Anolis sagrei: one gene and its partners. The protein of the gene in region 3 interacts with the protein of the main gene of each other region in a pairwise test. Links are inferred from orthologs where the notes say so. Each region holds a gene or a part of one and is shown on either strand. Other genes may lie near its edges. The genes, in order: CEP44, RGS17 and AQP1.

Region 1 (7,686 bases), on a different chromosome or scaffold from region 3:
GGATCAGATCCTGGTACATCTTATCCAACATAAAAAGGCCAGCATAATGTTGGATAAGCAAAAATGTTGGATAATATGGAAAAGCCTATTAAACATCAAATTACGTTATTTTACAAATTAAGCACCCAAACATCGTGTTTTACAACAAATTGACAGAGAAAGCAGTTCAATACATGGCAACGTTATGTAATAATGATCATATTTACTAAGTTAGCACGAAAACATTGCAATGTATTGAAACAGCTGTGAATCCAGGCAGGAAGCAGACTGTTGGATAATACAGAATGTTGGATGAGTGAAGGTTGGATAAGCGAGACTCTTCTGTATATAGGGCCTGTCTGGAAGAGCCCTCATAAAATCCAGTTTAAAGCAGAAAATCTGGGATCAGATCCTGTCTGGAAGGGCCCTCGGTGGGAGGACTTTCTAAAAAAAAACCAAAGGCTTTCTAAAGCAATGAAAGCATTGCTATTTAGACCTTGTTTTCCTGTAAGGCCTCGTTGGCTACCTCTAAAAATATACTCCTAAGACAACAACAGGTTCATGTACTGTAGAGTTAATGCAGATTGGCGCTACGAAAGCCCCTTCTATACTGCCAAACAATCCAGGTTATCAAATCATATAATCCACATTAACTGCTCTGAGCTGGATTAACTGAGTCTATGCTGCCAGATAATCCAGTTGAAAGCAGATACTCTGGGTATTATATGGCTGTGTAGAAGGGCCTGTAAACTGCCATGGCTCAAGGATATGGAATCCTGAGAGCTGCAGCTTGGTGAGAACAGGAAAAAGGCCTCAGAAAACTACAACTTCCAGGATTCTATCGCATCGAACTATGGCAATTAAAGTGGCATCAAACTGCATTATCAATGTAGAAGCACCCTTAATTAGTACTGTCCAAAGGGTTGGTGTTTCTTGCTTCAAAACACAAAGGATAATATGGTATTTATCCACTTCTCCATGGCAGGTCTACACATTTGTGGTTGTTATGTGTTGTGATTTCTAGGGCTGAGTGTGACTTTGCCTCATTGGACTTCCATGGCCAAAGGAGGGATTCAAACCCGGGTCTCCGGAGTACTAGTCAAATGCTCTAACCACAAATTGATACAGTTTTAAGGAGAGAAAATAATAGGAAACTTTATCACTTAAGGAAGGCAAACTGACATTGAAGCCAGGTGATGATCCCCATCCTACAACACCATGTTATGCCACTGCCAGCCTGTCTCTTTTCTGTGATTAACCTGTCATATGCTATTCACTGGAAAGTCTCTAAATAGCTGCCAATAGCTGCCAATCTAAGCCTATTTCTACTTAGCTACTTTCTTATCCTTGGGATCTGAGATAATACATATTTATATTTGTGTAAGGGGCAGACCAAACATATTTATCGTGTAAGGGGCAGACCAAACAGTTGCATTGCATTTTTTAACAAACAAACAAACCACAAAGTTTGCAAGCTTGGTAGTTGATTAAAAGTCCTTTGACCAGTAGCTGGCCACTTGGAGTGCCTCTGGTGTTGCTGCAAGAAGGTCCTCCATCGTGCATGTGGCAGGGCTCAGGTTGCATTGCAGGAGGTGGTCTGTAGTTTGCTCTTCTCCATACTTTGTAGCCCCATTTCTTAAGATTGGCTCTGCATCTCGTGGTGCCAGAGCACAGTCTGTTCAGCATCTTCCAAGTCGCTCAGTTTTCTGTGTGCCCAGGGGGGAGTCTCTCATCTGGTATCACCCATGGATTGAGGTGCTGGGTTTGAGCCTGCCACTTTTGGATTCTCACTTGCTGAGGTATTCCAGCGAGTGTCTCTGTAGATCTTAGAAAACGATTTCTTGATTTAAGTCGTTGACGTGCTGGCTGATATCCAAACAGGGAATGAGCTGGAGATGTCACTGCCTTGGTCCTTTCACTATTGGTTGCTACTTCCCGGCGGATGTCAGGTGGTGCAATACCGGCTAAACAGTGTAATTACTCCAGTGGTGTAAGGCGCAGACACCCCGTGATAATGCGGCATGTCTCATTAAGAGCCACATCTATTGTTTTAGCGTGGTGAGATGTGTTCCACACTGGGCATACATACTCAGCAGCAGAGTAGCATAGTGCAAGGGCAGATGTCTTCACTGTGTCTGGTTGTGATCCCCAGTACATAATAGAGAAGAATACACAATGGAGAAGAATAAATGCTCCTGTTTCTTCCATAAGCTCCATCATATGAGTCTACACTCCTAACATTAATACCAAACCTTATCATCATGATCTGTGCAAACCTAGTGCTGCTGAACTAATCTGAAGGTTGGCAGTTCGAATACGTGGGGCAGGGTGAGCCCTAGTTCCTGCCAACCTAGCAGGAAAGGCAATGACACTCCATGCAGTCATGCCAGCCACACGACCAGGATGTGTCTACGGACAATGCAGACTCCTCGGCTTGCAAACTCTGTTTTGTCTGTTTGTTAAAAATGTAATACAATGTAATACTGACAGGATAAATAAATAAATAGCTTGGAAATTGAGATAAGCACCTCCCACAGAGCCGGAGATGAGCACCACCTCCAGAGCCGGAAATGAAAGGAGAAGCCTTTGCCTCTGTATTTGTGTCATTGTATTTCTTTGTAACAAGATATTGAATGTTTGCCTGTGTCTGTTTATATGCGCAATCTGCTCTGAGTCCCCTCTGGGATTAGGGCGGAATATAAATAAAGTGTTATTATTATTATATTACGCCCCAAAGAACACAGATGGGCCGGCGGGGAAAACAGGGAGGTCTTGTTTGTGTTCCCCGGCGTCTCATATGGCGAGACAGGAATACAAGGCTCTCCGAATCCAGTATTTCTAGATTTAACGACAGCAAGCCCCTGCCACAGCCATCACCGAGCATTTGGCACACAGCACATCATCTTTTACATACCAAACACCGAATCACTCACTCACTCCCTGACTGACAGACGCGAGCCCCATCAAAACAACACCTCAACTACCTTGCCTCCGGCGGGTCGAACGGCGCGCTCGACACTCAAACCTTTCTCGCGATGGTTGCTTGCCGTATCATCGCGAGACTTCCATAGATTCTTTGGGGACGGGAGAGTATAAAGCACGGAGGTCTCGCGAGAAATCTTCCTCTGCCGAGATTTGAGCAGGTTTCATTCACATGCCCCCAGCATTTAAGGACAGTTGGGAAGGAAGAAAGTTTGATGTGGCTGATAGATATTAATTTCAAAAACTACAGGAATATAATGCATATTATTCAAGCTTATACTGGGCATAAATCACAAATAAATGCGACCAATCAGTTTAATTATGTAGGTAAATGCATATTTATAAAGTTGCTAAAGGCCTTAAAGGCTCACCAGTTAAGGAGATCTAAAGTTTTGTTGGAATTTTAGTGTGACCTTGTTTAATAATTTTGATTACATGTATTGATCAGATATTTTTTTCCTAAGGCATATGTTTTATATATTATCTGGATCATTAGTTTTACAGCTGTGTAGTTTAATGTATTATTCCTTCCCTCTGTGCCCCCTTCCACACAGCTGAATAAAATCCCACATTTTCTGCTTTGAACTGGAATATATGGCAGTGTGGACTCAGATAAACCAGGGTTCTTCCACACAGACCTATATCCCAGAATATCAAGGCAGGAAATCCCACATCTGAGTGTGGACTCAGATAACCCAGTTCAAAGCAGATATTGTGCGATTTTCTGCCCTGATATTCTGGGTTCTATGGCTTGGTGGAAGGTCCCTGAGGCCCTTTTCAGACAGGCCCTATATCCCAGGATCTGAAGCTAGATTTTCTGTTTATCCCAGATTATCCAACAGTGTGGATTTATATAATCCAGATTAAAGCAAAAAAAAAAAACCTGGGGTCAGATTCTGGGATATAGGTCCTGTCTGAGGACCCTTCCACAGTCATATAACCTAGAATATAAAGGAACAAAATCCCACAATATTTGCTTTCAACTGGATTATCTGAGTCCACACTCAGCCCTTACGCAGGCTGTGAGCTGTTTATAGACCTCTGAGGGTCTTTCCACACAGTCCCTATATCCCAGGATCTGATCCCAGGTTTTCTGTTTATCCCAGATTATCTGGCAGTGCGAACTCTTATAATCCAGTTTAAAGCAGAAAACCTGGGATCAGATCCTGGCATATAGGGACTGTGTAGAAGGGCCCTGAGTATCAAGCCAGTGCTGAATCACAGCGACAGTTGTGTTCAAGAGTTTTTGTGCATTTTTTAAAAAAAATCCTCTAACTATTCTTTCCTTATCTGAATCCACACTGCCATATATCCCAGTTCAAAGCAGATAACGTGGGATTTTATTCAGCTGTGGGGAAGGGACCTCAGGGCCCTTCCAGACAGGCCTTATATTCCAGGATCTGATCCCAGGTTTTCAGTTTATCCCAGATTATCTGGCAATGCGGACTCATATAATCCAGTTTAAAACAGAAAACTTGGGATCAGATCCTGTTAGGGAGGGGCTGTGGCCTCCCACACATCTGAATAAAATCCCACATTATCTTTTTTGAACTGGCAGCGTGGGCTGGACTCAGATAACCCAGTTCAAAGCAGATACTGTGGGATTTTCTGCCTTGATATTCTGGGTTATATGTCTGTGTGGAAGGACCCTGAGGGGCCTTCCACGCAGCCATATAACCCAGAATATCAAGGCAGAAAATCCCACAGTATCTACTTTAAACTGGGTTATCTGACTCCAAACTCAGATAAAATGGAATGTATTGCAGTATGGACTCAGGGGCCTTCCCCACAGCCCTATATCCCAGAATATCAAGGCAGAAAATTCCATATTATCTGAGTTTGGACTCAGATAACTCAGTTTGTGGGATTTCCTGCCTTGGTATTCTGGGATATAGGGCTGTGTGGAAGGGTCCTGAGTCCACACTGCCATATATTCCAGTTCAAAGCAGAAAGTGTGAGGTTCTGTGCAGCGGAATGGCAGGGGCCCTTCCACACACGGAGGGAAGGCACAGCTCTTATCTCCCAGACGGAGCAGCTGTTTTGAGCTCTCCCGCGGGAAATCGAAACCATCCGGCGTTTCCCAATCGGCAGATTCGTCAAACCTCACTCGCTTGTCAAAAAATTTTTTTTTGAGAACAACGCTCAGTTATGCGGAGAGCTACCTTTAACTCAGCTCGGCCCACCGCTATTAAAAAATTAAAATCTGATAGTATATCCTAGGACGCTTAAGCCTCCTCAAATTGACAGCGGAATCTGCGAAGGCGAATCGGCTGTTGCTTTCCGCGACGGACGAGGAGGGGAGCGTCACTTCCGGTAACAACATACACGGCAACCTCAAGAGCTCCAGCAGGGAACTTCCACCTTTGGCCGCTCGCGGTTTGGGGCGGGACACGAGCGCTTCGCCAGGGCTTCGCCAGCGCCTCCGCATCTCCCCAGACCCTCCTTGTCAAGCTTGGGCACTGACTGGCACAGCACTCGTCGCGGCGGCGGTTGGGACTCAATTTCGGACAGGTAAAGCGCGTTTTCTCTTCTCGCCTCAGCAGCCTGGAGGCAGCGGGAGCCGTTTGGTCTTGGAAGCTAAGCAGGGTCGACCCTGGTGAGCGCTTGGGTGGGAGACCGCCAAGGAATACCAGGCGCTGTGGGCTATATTTCAGAGCAGCCCATCTCAATGTATCCCTTGCCTAGGAAGACTGTGAAATTCATAGAGATTTTATTTTGTTTATTTATTTATATTCCGCTTTATCTCTCTATACTTAAGCCCCTTCCACACAGCTGAATAAAACCCCATAATATCTTCTTTGAACTGGAATATATGGTAGTGTGGACTCAGTTTAAAGCAGATATTGTGGGATTTTCTACCTTGATAAGTGCCCTTCCATACAGCGCTACATCCCAGAATATCAAGGCAGAAAGTCCCACAGTATCTGCTTTGAACTAGGTTATCTGAGTTCACACTCAGATACTGTGGGATTTTCTGCCTTGATATTCTGGGATATAGGGCTGTGTGGAAGGGCCCCTAGTTCAAAACAGATAGTAGTAATAATACAATATTATAATTATTATGCCCCCGCTGGCGCAGTGGGTTAAAGGCCTGTGCCGGCAGGACTGAAGACTTGATAAGTGCCCTTCCATACAGCTTTACATCCCAGAATATCAAGGCAGAAAGTCCCACAGTATCTGCTTTGAATTGGATTATCCGAGTCCACACTGCCATATAACCCAGTTCAAAGCAGATAATGTGGGATTTTATTCCACTGTGTGGAAGGGACCCCAAAATATCAAGGCAGAAAATCCCAAAATATTTATTTATTCCAGGCTGGTTCATCAGGTGCTCCAGCTTACCAGCTGAGGAAACATAACATACAAACAATCTACAAACCCACCAAGAAAATCCAACAAATGCTACGTTCAGCAAAGGACAAGAGGGGTCCTCTCACCTCTGCAGGAGTCTACAGAAAGGAGGAGACCATGAAAATGAACAAAATCTGGCTACCAGTATTAAAAAAACTCTAAAATTACAACAGCAAAACAGCAGAGAGGAAACAACCAGGCACATCTTAACACCGCTCAACAGAACATTTTCCCAGGCTCAGGCAGGCCTTCAAATGCTAATGAAGGTGGTCAGTTGAAACATTCACACCTAGCTTCAGCAGAGAGCTCTTTGCCCCACCCCAGTCATTCCACAGATATATAAACCCATTGTCCTATTTCCAACAGACCTCACTACCTCTGGGGATGCTTGCCATAGATGCAGGTGAAACGTCAGGAGAAATGCCTCTAGAACATGGCCCTATAGCCCGAAAAAAACCTACAAGAACCTAGTGATTCCAGCCATGAAAGCCTTCGACAATACATTTATTTATTTATTTACGGCATCTATATGCCGCCCTTCTCACCCCAAAGGGGACTCAGAGCGCCTTACAATATATATTTTCATACAATATATTATATTATTAGCATAGTAAAATATCAGTATTATATATTACTATATTGTACTATACCATTATATTGTAATATTATTAGTAATATTACATGTAATGTAAATATATAATTCTAATTTTTTTTTGTCGTGTCAGGAGCGACCGCTCCTGTTGTGAGAGAATTGGCTGTCTGCAAGGATGTTGCCCAGGGGACGCCAGGATGATTTGATGTTTTATCATCCTTGTGGGAGGCTTCTCTCATGTCCCCACACGAGGAGCTGGAGCTGATAGAGGGAGCTCATCCGCCTCTCCCCGGATTTGAACCTGCGACCTGTCAGTCTTCAGTCCTGCCGGCACAGGCCTTTAACCCACTGCGCCAGCGGGGGCATAATAATTATAATATTGTATTATTATTACTATCTGCTTTGAACTAGGGGCCCTTCGACACAGCCCTGTATCCCAGAATATCAAGGCAGAAAATCCCACAGTATCTGAGTGTGGACTCAGATAACCTAGTTCAAAGCAGATACTGTGGGATTTTCTGCCGTGATATTCTGGGATAATGGGGCTGTATGGAAGGGCCCTAGATTATCTGAGTCTACACTGCCATTTATTCCAGTTCAAAGCGGATAATGGGGGATTTTATTCAACTGTGTGGAAGGGGCCAGAGACTCAAAATGAAAAATGTTACAATTTCAAATATACCAATATACAATAATAAAACGGTATTGTCATTGTATGTGATTATATATTACTAGTAGCATATTTAATATATTTGTATTATTATATTACAGTATTATTATTA
Region 2 (7,185 bases), on a different chromosome or scaffold from region 3:
TTCCCTGGCACACAGGCCAATAACTAGGAGTCAGCAATTTCCCCAGGAAGGAGAAGACAACACATTCCACTCCTTCTGCAACTGAAGGTTAGAGATTGGACATTTCCTTGCCCTTCCAAGAGATACAACTGAGGATGAATTCCCTTGGACAGAGACTGGGTATTTCCCTGCCTTTCCAGGAGATGTAACTGAGGATGAATTGCCTTCACTTGAGCTTGGACACTTCCCTGCCCTTCCAAGAAATACAACTGGGGATGAATTCCCTTGGATAGAGACTGGGCATTTCCTTGCCCTTCCAGAAGATGCAACTTGGGATGAATTGCCTTGTCTAGAGCTAGGACACTTTCCTGCCCTCCAAGAGATACAACTGAGGATGAATCCCCTTGGACAGAGAGATGCAACTGGGGATTAATTGCCTTGACTAGACCTTGGCCACTTCCCTGCCCTTCCAAGAGATACAACTGGGGATGAATCCCCTTGGACAGAGAGTGGGCATTTCCCTGCCTTTCCAGGAGATGCAACTGGAGATGAATTGCCTTGGTTTGAGCTTGGACACTTCCCTGCCCTTCCTTCCTTATTCCATCCATCCTCAGAGACAAGAAGCAACTGGGGATGAATTCCCTTAGAGAGAAGCTGGGCATTTCCCTGCCCTTCTAGGCAGGCCTGTAGCGAGGGGGGGGGGGGGGTTAGGGGTTCAACCCCCCCCCCCGAAATGTTTCAGATTTTTTTTAAAAAACCTGGTTTACTCATGAATTTTAACTGGTTAACCAAATCCCCATGCTAAGTCTATGAGATGCAAAAAATTAAGAGTCCCTCCAGAACTGCAAGCACTATCTCAAGCAAATATTGGCAATTTATTCACACTGTCATTACTTGCAGCAATAGCCGATGTAGTTGTTCTGGTACAGCTGTACCAGGAGCTCCAACTTTATTTGCTTTGTATTAGGCACTAGGTTTCAGGAACTCTGCAGATAGGTGGCTTCTTTGGTTGCAGTCATTGGGCAAGTCACCTGTCCATCATTGTTAAGTTTTGGTCCCGCCCCTTGCTCAGGGCAATTGGGAAGGGAGCCATTTTTAGTTAGTCTCAGCAAGGTAAGCTTATGTATAGGATGTGTGCAAGCTTCCCCTGTACAAAAGCTTCAACCCTTAAGACCTTCCAGGGGAGAAAGGTCTTAAGAGTCTCCAAAGAATTTCCAGGAAAACAGCCCTAAAGACCAAAGAACTCTAGCTGGAGAACATCTACTGCCTTGCTGGTAGGTCCACTCGACGTTTGAGACGCAGTTCGACCCGGTAGCGGAGCCCACATCAGTAAGGGTTAGATTACAGTCAGCCTGGGAGAAGTTAAAAAGGGGGTTTTCCTTTAAAGAAGAAGTTATTGAAGACAGTTGCCTGTTCTTCGTGGGCAAGATTAGGAATTCACCAGTTGCCTAAAAGCTTGGAATCATTTGCTTAACTTTACTGAAGACAAGAGGAGTTTCTGTTTGATTGTTCATTAGTAAAATACTTTGTTGTACTTCTCAAGCCATCTAAAGACTGTTTGTGATGGAAACCTCTGAGAACTTCTCTTTAGGCCCCCTGGCTTCCCGCTGGGCAAAGGTTGCACATCCTGTTCTAAAGACAATTATTTACAGGCCCAGCGCGCGACAGAACAGTAGTGAAGCAACCAAGTTGGCGGGGGGGGGGGGGGGATGATGAATGCTCTCATTAAGGAGACCAGACTTGGTGGAGGTGGTTGACAAGGGCGGAGCTGCAGGCTATTGAAGGCTGCTCTGCCCCCTGCTGTGCTCTTTGCTTCAGCGTGAGCTAGGAGGCAGGTTTCAACCCCCCTCCCAAAATTTCAACCCCCCCCCCGAAGTTTCAACCCCTCCCGAAATTTTTTTCTGGCTACAGCCCTGCTTCTAGGAGATGTAACTGAGGATGAATTGCCTTGGCTGGAGCTTGGACACTTCCAAGAGATACAACTGGGGATGAATCCCCTTTGTACAGAGCCTGTGCATTTCCCTGCCCTTCCAAGAGATGCAACTTGGGATGAATTGCCTTGACTAGAGCTTGGACACTTCCCTGCCTTTCCAAGAGATACCACTGAGGATGAATTCCCTTGGCGGGAGATTGGGCATTTCCCTGCCCTTCCAAGAGATGCTCTGTGAGCTTTGTAAGCACCCTTTCTCTGGCACCTCCATGCCCTTCCTTCTACAACTGGATGAAGAAAGGAGAAGGGGGACCCGGTGAAGCCCTGGAGGCACTGCAGAAGAAAAGAAGGTTCCCCTTTCTGCTGAGGAAAGGGCAAGGGGAACCTCACCTCCCTTGCCAGCACAAGGGAGGGAAAGGAGCCGGCCCGGTGGCTTCTTCTCTCCTGGGAAGCGTCCCAGAGGAGGAGGCAGGCGGAAGGCAGAGGACGCGGGGAAGCCCTCTCTCCCAGCCATGTCTTCCACACACTTTCCACACACCGCGGAGGATGCTGAAAGGCAAGGCGGGGCGGGGGAGAGAGAGAGGGAGAGAGGGAGAGGCTCGGGTGGGGGGCGGCGGCGTGGACACGCGCGCAAACGCATTGGGCTCCCTCGGCGGCGGGGAAGCCACGGACGCCCCCCGAGCCTCCCTCACCCGCATCCTCTCCTCTCTTCTCCCTCCTTCCTTCCTTCCTTCCTTCTATCTTCCATCCATCTTCAGAGACAAGAAGCAACACCCACCTCTACTCCCCCGCTCTCTCTCGCTTTCTCTCTCTCTTCCTTTTGGCAAGCCCTCCCCGCTCCTTGGGTCTCTTCTCCCTCTGCCTTGCCCCCCGCCCGTCCCCCGCCTTGCCCTCATCCATCTTTTCCCCCCTCGCGCCTATTCCTTTCTCTTTGCCACAGCAGACATGTTTGCTGCCTTGGGAAGAAGTGAAAGCCAACGACAAGGGATGCGGGGAAAGGAGGAGGAGGAGGAGGGCGCGGGTGGCGTGAGGGAGAGAGACCGCGCGGGGAAGGGGAAGGGGAAGGGGAAGGGAGGAGGGTCCGCCTTACCCACACACACCCCCGCCTGGCTGCCTGCGCGTGGACGATTCCCGGCGCGGGGGAGGGAGGCCCACGGGGAAGGCAAGGCAAAGGAAGGCGGGCGCCGCGGGTCGGCTAACGGAGCTGCTCCTGCTGCTGCTCGCCTGCCATCCGCCCAACTTCAGCACCCAGCCGGCAGGGAAAGAGAGCGAGAGAGAGAGAGAGCGAGATTGAGGGAGAAGGGAGGGAGGGAAGGGAGGGAGGAAGGAAGGAAGGCGGGGGGGGGGGGGAGAGGCTTCGGCGAGGCGGGCTGCGCATGCGCCTCTCGGCCCAGCGCTGGCCCCGGCGGAGCAGCTGGAGTTTCCCCGCTTCTCCCCAGCGTGACTCACGGAGGACCCCCTCCCCTCCCTTCTCCGCGACTGAGGAGACTCCGAGGAAAGGAGGGAGCGGGTGGCTGGGGGCTAGAGAGGAGGCCCAAGGAGGCGGGGGCGGGCAGGGGTGGGAGCGGGAGGCCGAGAGACACCCGGGGCACGTCCTGTGTCGATGGGAGGGCGGGGAGGGGGCGCCCAAAGCCCCTCAGGTGAGAGGAAGGAGGAAGGCCGCCTGGAGGGAGGGAAGCACCAGGGCCAGGAGGACGGGGCGGAAGGGGTTCCGCTTTGGAGGGGCAGCTAAGGCGCCAAGGGTGGCCTTCCAAGCCCCCGGGTCTCGCGGGAGAGAGGCGCGTGTGCTCCTCGCGCAGGCATGTGGGGGGGGGGGGGGGCTTGAGGGGCTTCAGCCCCCCCCCCCGAAATTCTCATGGTGGTTCGCGAAAAGGCCTTACTGGTGCATTATTTAAACTGTTATGTTTATTCATATCATGATCTGATCACCATACTCAATATATCCCATTTGCATGAGGGTATTGGGGTAATGAATCAAAAGGTTTGCTAGGCTAGACCCTCTGTCACTTAGACTCAGCCCCCCCCCCGAAACTCAGCCCCCCCCCCCAATCGAAATCCTGGCTACGGGCCTGTCCTCGTGGTCCTCCTCCTCCTCCAGGCTCCCCACGTTTCTGCTTCGGACAGGGACTGCGGCAGACACACGCTCGGGTTTGCCCAGGCAGCTGGCCACTCGGAAGAAGGACCCTTCCACACAGCCCTATATCCCAGAATATCAAGGCAGGAAATCCCACATGGCCTGAGTGTGGACTCAGATAGCCCAGGGCCCTTCCATACAGCGCTATATCTCAGAATATCAAGACGGAAAATCCCACAATATCTGCTTTGAACTGGATTATCTTCGGGAGAGAGAAGGTAGAAATGCATGCAATAAATAAATGAAATAAATAATTATCTGAGTCCACAGGAGCTCCCGGTGATGCAATGGGTTAAATCCTTGTGCCAGCACGACTGAAGACCAACAGGTTGCAGGTTCGAATCCAGGGAGGGTGTGGATGAGCTCCCTCTGTCAGCTCCAGTTTCCCATGTGGGGACATGAGAGAAGTCTCCCACAAGGATGGTGAAACATCAAAACATCTGGGCATCCCCTGGGCAACATCCTTGCAGACAGCCAATTCTCTCACACCAGAAGCGACTTGCTCCTGACATGAAAAAAAAAAATCTCAGTCCACACTCAGATAATATGCAATTTTCTGCCTTGATATTCTGGGATATAGGGCTGTGTGGAAGGGCCCGAAGAAAAGGTGTTTCAAAGCGGTGTATTTCACGATGGGAACACGTTATCATTACACACCAAAGGGTTACCCACAGTTTCATATTTATTTATTTATTTCAAACATTTCTATCCCCTCCTTCTCACCCCACCCCTGGGGGAGGGGGGATGGGACTCAGGGCAGCTCACAACCGGCAACCATTAGATGCCAAACACAACTATTATAATAACAATTGCAATTAAAACAATTTATTAAAACATCCTTTACAAAACATCCATTTAAAATTACATCAAATCCAAAGTCACAGTCTGAGGTCTGTCCATTGTGATCATTCATAAGTGATCAAGTTCTGTTAAGAAGAGGAGGCCGAGAGGGAGACATTTATCATTATTTTTATATTTCTTGGGAGGAGAGCAATGACCAAATTCAATAAAGCAGTGAAGAGTAGAGACATCACACTGGAAACGAAGATCCACATAGTTAAAGAGATTGTATTCTCCGTAGCAACCTACAGGATGTGAGAGCTGGACCATAAGGAAGGCTGAGCGAAGGCAGATAGATGCTTTTGAACTGTGGTGCTGTGATTCTAGATTTTGGAATTCTGGATTACAGATACTCTTTCTGTATCAAGGGCACACTCTATATCATAAGTGTGTGAGGTGTTTCAAGGAGATGACACATATATCTCTCTCAACCAAACATTTTATAATCCATGTGGGTGCATTCTCTTTTCTTAAGTCAAAATAGCAGGTATTTTAGAATCCATGGGCAACAAAAAATGCCTGCAGAAATGTCTGCAGAAAAATCCAGACATCTCTGTTATTGTTGGCAAAAGGCAACAGTAAGCATTCAACTGGCATTTACTGCCTTTCTTTGAGACCCCAAATTCAACGGCAGCACTTGGAGACAAAGCGAATAGAACTTTAGTAGGAGTGATTACTTTTTCCCAAACAATTATGCAAAAATCTTAATGCAATCCATTTAATTTGGAAGCACTGTGTTACGAACATGCTAATAAAATGTTATCATTTATTTTTAAAAGCTTCATAAAACAAAGCTAATTCTGAGCAGGCCCCTAAACAAGCCTACAATTATGTTTTATAAATCAGTAAATATAATTTATTCTACAAAACAGAAAAAGGACATCATTATGATGAAAAAGGTCATCATAAAAAGCTAACACAAGCCACCACTTATAATTCATTATTTCTTGGCTTAGTGTCTGAGATGGCCTCCTCCCTGCCTTACAATAGGGCAGCAAATCAGTAGAGCTCTAGGAGAGAATACTAAACCAAACTATAAATCTCAAGGTTCCCTAGGAAAGAATTATGGCAGTTAAACTTATATGAAACTGTTATCGCTATGCAGTGTAAATATAGGCTAGAATCTTGTTGGTGACATGCCGATTTCAGGGTTACTTGTTCCATCTTTGTTGTGTATTCTTAAGTCATTTCTGACTTATTGTGTCCCTAAGGTGAACCTGACATGGAAGTGGGGTTTTTTTTGCCAAAATTAATTATCCATTTTTATCAGTATGTATCACCTTTTTCCTGATACTGTTGTCAGACGAAACATGCACTGACCCCATTACACTGAAATACTTCTATTTTTACCTTCAGAAATACTCCGCTTTGACTCATCATACCATGGAAGGCTGTCTCCTTCAAAACCATTCAGAAAAAGTCCTATGTGACTTTTAAAAAAATCTAAAACTGCGCAGTGATGTAGCCTCAAAATCTTGAATTACTGCCCTTGCATGATTTGAAGACATTGTTGCGACAGCGCAGTAAATGTATTTGCCTGATTGCTACTTTTGGTGTGGAATAAGGAGTTCTAATGAGTCTGAGAAAGAGTTCTGAGAAATCAAATCTTATCAGATTTCTAAATGATAGATTATTGATTCATTAGATATGGCTCCTTTGCTGCAGTTACTACTTCAGGTAAAGTGGTAATTCCCGATTTCCTTAATCCCAGAGGTCTTTCTCCTTTGACATCCCAAAACAGAACTGGCTGCTGCTTCAGTCATGAACAGTCCAGGATCAGGAGACTCTGCCCTCAGACAGTCCACCAAATTTTAAGTCGCATAGTAGCTGATGATATGTGTATTGATTTCCCAATCACATTAAAAAACAATGCTTCAGTGAAAGAAAACTCCACAGTATTTCAAATACAACTATAATCCCGTGTGCAAATACTCCATTTCTGCAATGCTTTGCAGACGGATTTCAACAGATTACTGACAGAATGGGGAAAACATCATGTGGTGGAACCTGGTTGACATCATTCTCAAACTGTATCAGAAATGAAGGCAAGAGAGAGAGAGAGAGAGAGAGAGACTTAAATGAGAGAGAAACTTACTAGCATGACGACAATGTTCAGTGGGAGATTTGAATGCAATATTCCTGCTTCTTGGCAGGGGGTTGGACTGGATGGCCCATGAGGTCTCTTCCAACTCTTTGATTCTATGATTCTATGAGAATTGCTTATCACACCATGTTGCTAATTTGGTTTTGATATGGAGGAGGACCTTTTTTGTTTTGTGGAATCTACTTATTGAAATTAAGT
Region 3 (7,016 bases):
CATGACTAGACGTAATATCAGGGGAAAACCTTTACCTTTACCTTCCCTTTCATAGAATCATAGAATCAAAGAGTTGGAAGAGATCTCATGGGCCATCCAGTCCAACCCCATTCTGCCAAGAAGCAGGAATATTGCATTCAAATCACCCCTGACAGATGGCCATCCAGCCTCTGTTTAAAACCTTCCAAAGAAGGAGCCTCCACAACACTCCAGGGCAGAGAGTTCCACTGCTGAACGGCTCTCACAGTCAGGAAGTTCTTCCTCATGTTCAGATGGAATCTCCTCTCTTGTAGTTTGAAGCCATTGTTCCATTGCGTCCTAGTCTCCAGGGAAGCGGAAAACAAGCTTGCTCCCTCCTTCCTGTGGCTTCCTCTCACATATTTATACATGGCTATCATATCTCCTCTCAGCCTTCTCTTCTTCAGGCTAAACATGCCCAGCTCCTTAAGCCACTCCTCATAGGGCTTGTTCTCCTGACCCTTGATCATTTAAGTCGCCCTCCTCTGGACACATTCTAGCTTTGCTAACACAAGCGACAACACAGAGAAAATAATTTTAGTACAGTTGCCAACTTTTATGTGAAAGGGGCTATTGTGCCATTAATAGCACAAATTTTAGTTGGAGTGACCAGCTGCAAAAGGGTTCGAGGCTCCTCTGCTTATAAACATTTGTCATTCCTAAATTAGAAGAAATAATTTCCCAAATCCCTCCTTCTAGAAATCAATGAAAAGACCCCTACAGCCCTAGTATCTTTGGCACCTTTGCCTAATAATAAAGCATCATTAAAAGCACAGAAGCCTGATTGGAGAAGAAAACATCAATACAGCCTCTTTCCAACTTGTGCATCTCTTTTTGCCTTGGCTAAACGAGAGCACAGAGCTTCTCTCCTCTTCCTTTGGAGTTAATTTTAATGATATTGAACGGTCAAAGGATGGATTTTCCACCTCAATGAGCTGAAAGTCATGCCCCAGGTTAATTGGAGAAGATGATCTCCATTAACAGCTTCATCATGTTTGGAGGCTCTCAACCTTCCTAATGCTGTGACCCCTAAATACAGTTCCTCATGTTGTGGTGACCCCCAACCATAACATTATTTTCATTGCTACTTCACAACTGTAATTTTGCTACTGATATGAATCTCAATGTAAATATCAGATATGCAGGATGTCTTTTCATTCACTGGACCAAATTTGGCACAAATACCCAATATGTCCAAATTTGAATACTAGTGGGGTTCCGTGAGGGGGTTGATCTTGTTATTTGGGAGTTGCAGTTGCTGGGATTTATAGTTCACCTACAATCAGAGAACACTTTGAACTCCACCAATGTTAAAATTGAACCAAATTTGGCACACAGAACTGCCGTAACTAACTGAAAATACTCGAAGGGTCTCCTGGGCATTGACCTTTGGTTGTGGAGTTGTAGTTCACCAATATCCAGAGAACACTGTGGACTCAAACAATGATGGATCTGGACCAAACTTGGCATAGATACTCAATATGCCCAAATGTGAACACTGATAGTTTGTGGGAAATAGAGTTTGACGTTTGGGAGTTGTAGTTGCTGGGATTTATAGTTCACTTACAATCAAAGAGCATTCTGAACCCTACCAACAATAGAATTAGGCAAAACTTCCCACACAGAACTCCCATAACCAACAGAAAATACTGGAAAAGTTTGGTGGGCATTGACATTGAGTTTTGAAGTTGTAGTTCACCTACATCCAGATTGCACGGTGGACTCAAACAATGATAGATCTGGACCAAACTTGGCACAAATACTCAATATACCCAAATGTGAACACTGGTGGAGCATTCTGAACCCCAATGACCAACAGAAAATACAGTGTTTCCAAACAATGATGGATCTGGACCAAACTTGGCACAAATACTCAATATACCCAAATGTGAACACTGGTGGAGTTTGGGGAAAATAGAGTTTGACATTTGGGAGTTGCAGTTGCTGGGATTTATAGTTCACCTACAATCAAAGAGCATTCTGAACCCCAATGACCAACAGAAAATACTGAACCTTCTCTTCGTGACCCTCCCCAGGGGTCCCAATCCGCAGGTTGGGAAACACTGCTATGGTTGGTAGTTGTCCAACTTTTTTGTGATGAAGGAAAGAGTAGATAAACTTACCTGGTTGAGGCCAAGGGAGTTGCCTGGCAGCGACGAAGTGATGCCCGAAAGGATGGCGGTGGCCACCACAGCCCCGAGGCACTGGGCGATAATGTACATGACGGCCCGCAAGATGCTGATCTGGCAACTGAGCAGGAGGCCCAAGGTGACAGCTGGGTTCAAGTGGGCTCCGCTGATGTGGCCCACGCTCTGGGCCATGGTGGCGATGGAGATCCCGAAGGCCAAGGAGACCTTCACGTTGTCCTGCACTGGCGTGGTGGTCTTGTTCTCCGACACGGGGAACTGGAACCCCAAGGCCGCCCCGATGCTGATGAAGATGAAGAGGCTCATGGCGAAGAACTCGGCCACCACGGCCCGCCAGAACATCTTCTTCTTGAATTCGCTGGCCATCTCGGCTACCTTGTCTTCTCCTTCTTCTTCCTCAACCCTTCTTCTTTCTTCAGCCTCCTTCTGCCCTCTGCCTCTCCAACCCTTTGCCAACTCAACAGGCTTCCTCGCTGGAAGGAAGGAGTCTGAAGAGGCAACGAGGAGAGTCGATTATTTATAGGGCTTTGGGTGGTCTGGAGGAGGGAAGAGGAAAGAACATCGGGATGCTGACTGTTAGACTGATGTAAGGCACCGTTCTCCGTTGCCTGCCAATTTCTTAACCCCCCCCCCCTTTTCCTTTCCTCCTTCACCAGCTTCCCTCCCCCTAACAGCAACCACTCCTTTCTCTTCCTTTGCAAACTCTGATCTTTGCTGCTGTTTTGTCGTTCTTAAAGGCATTTAAAGAAAAGAGTGATCCAGAAGGCTGCCTGCCTGCTTGCCTGCCTTGGGCATTGCCAGCATCTTTCTCCCCTTCCCTCTCCAACAGTTGCAAAATTAAGCTGAAGGGAAGCTTTTGGAAGGCGTCTCTCCTTTTCGCCCACTTTTCACCTTCTCTCTTTATCTCTCTGGACTCTCTTGACATGCTTGAGTGCCTTTTAGTCTTCTCTTTCCGTGAATAAGGAGGGAAAGCAAACTAAATCAGGAGATTTGGTTATTTGTAAGTTTTTTGGGCTGTATGGCCATGTTCCAGAAGCATTCTCTCCTGATGATTTGCCTGCATCTGTGGCAGGAGTCCTCAGAGGTTGTGAGGTCTGCTGGAAACTAAGAAAATGGGGTTAATATTCTCCTGTTTTAATGTTTTGTTGAAGGATTTCATGGCCAGAATCACTGGGTTGCTGTAAGTTTTTCGGGCTGTATGGCCGTGTTCCAGTGAAGGGAACTCCTGCCACAGATGCAAGCAAATCATCAGGAGAGAATGCTTCTAGAACATGGCCATACAGCCCAAAAAACTTACAGCAACCCAGTGATTCTGGCTATGAAATCCTTCAACAAAACATTAAAACAGGAGAATATTAACCCCATTTTCTTAGTTTCCAACGTCACCAGAAGCATTCTCTCCTGATGTTTCACCTGCATCTGTAGCAGGCATCCTCAGAGGTACTTGTGAGGTCTGCTGGAAACTAAGGAAATGGGGTTTATATTCTCCTATTTTAATGTATTGTCGAAGGATTTCATGGCCAGAATCACTGGGTTGCTGTAAGTTTTTCGGGCTGTATGGCCATGTTCCAGAAGCATCCTCTCCTGATGTTTCACCTGCATCTGTGGCAGGAGTTCTCAGAGGTTGTGAGGTCTGATGGAAACTAAGAAAATTGGGTTTAAATTCTCCTGTTTTAATTGTATTGTCGAAGGATTTCATGGCCAGAATAACTGGGTTGCTGTAAGTTTTTCGGGCTGTATGACCATGTTCCAGAAGCATCCTCTCCTGATGTTTCACCTGCATCTATGGCAGGAGTCCTCAGAGGTTGTGAAGTCTGATGGAAACTAAGAAAATTGGGTTTAAATTCTCCTGTTTTAATTGTATTGTCAAAGGATTTCATGGCCAGAATAACTGGGTTACTGTAAGTTTTTCGGGCTGTATGGCCATGTTCCAGAAGCATTCTCTCCTGATGTTTTGCCTGCATCTATGGCAGGAGTCCTCAGAGGTTGTGAGGTCTGCTGGAAACTAAGAAAATGGGGTTTATATTCTCCTGTTTTAATATATTGTCGAAGGATTTCATGGTCAGGATCACTAGGTTTCTGTAAGTTTTTCGGGCTGTATGGCCATGTTCCAGAAGCATTCTCTCCTGATCATAGAATCATGGAATCATAGAATCAAAGAGTTGGAAGAGACCTCATGGGCCATGCAGTCCAACCCCCTGCCAAGAAGCAGATATATTGCATTCAAATCACCCCTGACAGATGGCCATCCAGCCTCTGTTTAAAAGCTCCCAAAAAAGGAGCCTCCACCACACTCCGGGGCAGAGAGTTCCACTGCTGAACGGCTCTCACAGTCAGGAAGTTCTTCCTAATGTTCAGATGGAATCTCCTCTCTTGTAGTTTGAAGCCATTGTTCCGCATCCTAGTCTCCAAGGAAGCAGAAAACAAGCTTGCTCCCTCCTCCTCCATGTGGCTTCCTCTCACATATTTATACATGGCTATCATATCTCCTCTCAGCCTTCTCTTCTTCAGGCTAAACATGCCCAGCTCTTTAAGCCGCTCCTCATAGGGCTTGTTCCTCAGACCCTTGATCATTTTAGTCGCCCTCCTCTGGACACATTCCAGCTTGTCAATATCTTTCCTGCATCTGTAGCAGGCATCCTCAGAGGTTGTGAGGTCTGTAGGAAACTAGGAAAATAGTGTTTATATATCTGTGAAATAATGTCCAGGGTGGGAGAAAGAACTCTTGTCTGTTGGAGGTAGGTCTGAATGCTTCATTCAGCCACTTTGATTAGCATTTAACGGCCTAGCAGTTTCAAGCTGTGACTTCTTATTGCCTGGGGAATCCTTTGTTGGGAGGTGATTAGCATTCTCTCCTGATGTTTCGCCTGCATCTGTGGCAGGCATCCTCAGAGGTTGTGAGGTCTGTTGGAAACTAGGAAAATAGGATTTATATATCTGTGGAATAATGTCCAAGGTGGGAGAAAGAACACTTGTCTGTTGGAGCTAGATGTGAATGATTCAATTGGCCACCTTGATTAGCATTTAATGGCCTAGCAGTTTCAAGCTGTGACTTCTTACTGCGTGGGGGAATCCTTTGTTTAGAGGTGATTAGTTGTCCCTGATTGTTTCTTGTCTGGAGTTCCCCTGTGTTTGAATGTTGTCCTTTATTTACTGACTTGATTCTGGTGTTTTTTAATACTGGTAGCCAGATTTTGTTCATTTTCATGATTTTCTCCTTTCTGTTGAAATTGTCCACATGCTTGTGGAGTTCAGCGCCTTCTCTGTGTAGTCTGACATGGTGGTTGTTAGAGTGGTCCAGCATTTCCATGTTCTCAAATAATATGCTGTGTCCAGGTTGGTTCTCCGGAACTCCATCAGGTCTTCACTCAGCTGTCTTCTCATGGGGACAGACAATATTCTCCCGCCAGGGACATTCCACCCCATTTTTCTAGTTTCCAACAGACCTCACTACCTCTGAGGATGCTTGCCATAGATGCAGGTGAAACGTCAGGAGAGAATGCTTCTAGAAAATGGCCATACAGCCAGAAAAACTCACAACAACCTAGTGATTCCAGCCATGAAAGCCTTCAACAATACATTAAATCAGGAGAATTGCCTATAGAAGACCAGCAAGAAGACCAAACTTGAGAGGAATTATCCCAGGTGCTGAAACGTATTTGAGATCAGCACCTTGGAAAAGTCCTTTAAAGTGGAGAAAAACCTAGAGCAGATTCAGACATAGGGGGTTGAATGAAAAGTAATGCCTTCACCTTCATAACTCCTCAACAGGTGGCAGTACTGGTACACGGCAGGTACTGGCTTGTTCAGTAGACTCTCCTCTACAGTTCCATTTTGATCGGAAGCCTTAGCATTCAACGGTTGTATTTTAAAGTGTGAAGTATGGAACCCTGCGCAGACGGTCGGTCAATGCGACTTAAGCAACATGCAGTCATTGAATTCTCGACAGCAGAAGGTGTCATCCCAAAGGAGATTCATCAGAGAATGCAAGCAGTTTATTGTGATTGTGTTGATGTGAGTATTCTGCATTGTTGGGCGAGTAAGTTTAAAGATGTTGAGGTGGGAACATTTGACTTGCGTGACAAACAAAGAGATGGAACCACAATGCCAGGGAGATGTTGGCTCTAAGCTGGAATGTGTCCAGAGGAGAGTGACTCAAATAATCAAGGGTCTGGAGAACAAGCCCTATGAGGAGTGGCTTAAAGAACTGGGCATGTTTAGTCTGCAGAAGAAAAGGCGGAGAAGAGACATGATGAGGACCATGGATCAAGATGTGAAGAGAAGTCACAGCAAGGAGGGAGCAGGCTTGTTTTCTCCTGCCCTGGATACTAGGACTCAATTGAACAATGGCTTCAAACAACAGGAAAGGAGATTCCATCTGAACATTAGGAAGAACTTTCTGACTGTGACAGCTGTTCAGCAGTGGAACTCTCTGCCCAGAAGTGTAGTGGAGGCTTCTTCTTTGGAAGCTTTTCAGCAGAGGCTGGATGGCCATCTGTCAAGAGTGCTTTGAATGTGATTTTCCTGCTTCTTGGCAAAATGGACTTGGACTGGGTGGCCCATGAGATCTCTTCCAACTCTATGATTCTATGGCTACCTTAAAAATGGAAATGTAGAACAGAGAGGAATTGACCAATGTGTGGAATGTGATAATGTTGTCGGTAGGAAATGCCACATGAACCCTTCTCAAACAAGAAGGAGTGGCCTGCTCTAGCATGAACGCATTTTGAGATTCGCCAATCTGGTGCCGTGACTGAGAATGTGACCTGAAAGGACCCAAGGTTCATCTGCGCCCAATGGAATGAATGAAGTGCTATATAAACATCTTACTGGGTCCTCAAAAGTATGGGG

Evidence for each region.
Region 1: the proteins of AQP1 (region 3) and CEP44 interact in binary tests that used the Homo sapiens proteins (3 or more experiments, as listed by UniProt). The link is inferred for Anolis sagrei from reciprocal best matches to the Homo sapiens genes AQP1 and CEP44.
Region 2: the proteins of AQP1 (region 3) and RGS17 interact in binary tests that used the Homo sapiens proteins (3 or more experiments, as listed by UniProt). The two-hybrid records come from large-scale screens. The link is inferred for Anolis sagrei from reciprocal best matches to the Homo sapiens genes AQP1 and RGS17.

What each region holds. Positions count from the first base shown.
Region 1 is NC_090025.1:61,099,490-61,107,175, reverse strand, and holds the start of CEP44 (centrosomal protein of 44 kDa), read right to left. Parts: upstream 3,065-7,686; 5' UTR 2,964-3,064; intron 2,945-2,963; exon of another isoform or gene 2,894-2,944; intron 1-2,893. UniProt on the Homo sapiens protein: Centriole-enriched microtubule-binding protein involved in centriole biogenesis. In collaboration with CEP295 and POC1B, is required for the centriole-to-centrosome conversion by ensuring the formation of bona fide centriole wall.
Region 2 is NC_090021.1:71,470,166-71,477,350, reverse strand, and holds the start of RGS17 (regulator of G-protein signaling 17), read right to left. Parts: upstream 3,084-7,185; 5' UTR 3,000-3,083; intron 1-2,999. UniProt on the Homo sapiens protein: Regulates G protein-coupled receptor signaling cascades, including signaling via muscarinic acetylcholine receptor CHRM2 and dopamine receptor DRD2.
Region 3 is NC_090026.1:126,034,808-126,041,823, reverse strand, and holds the start of AQP1 (aquaporin-1), read right to left. Parts: upstream 3,009-7,016; 5' UTR 2,532-3,008; coding exon 2,142-2,531; intron 1-2,141. UniProt on the Homo sapiens protein: Forms a water channel that facilitates the transport of water across cell membranes, playing a crucial role in water homeostasis in various tissues.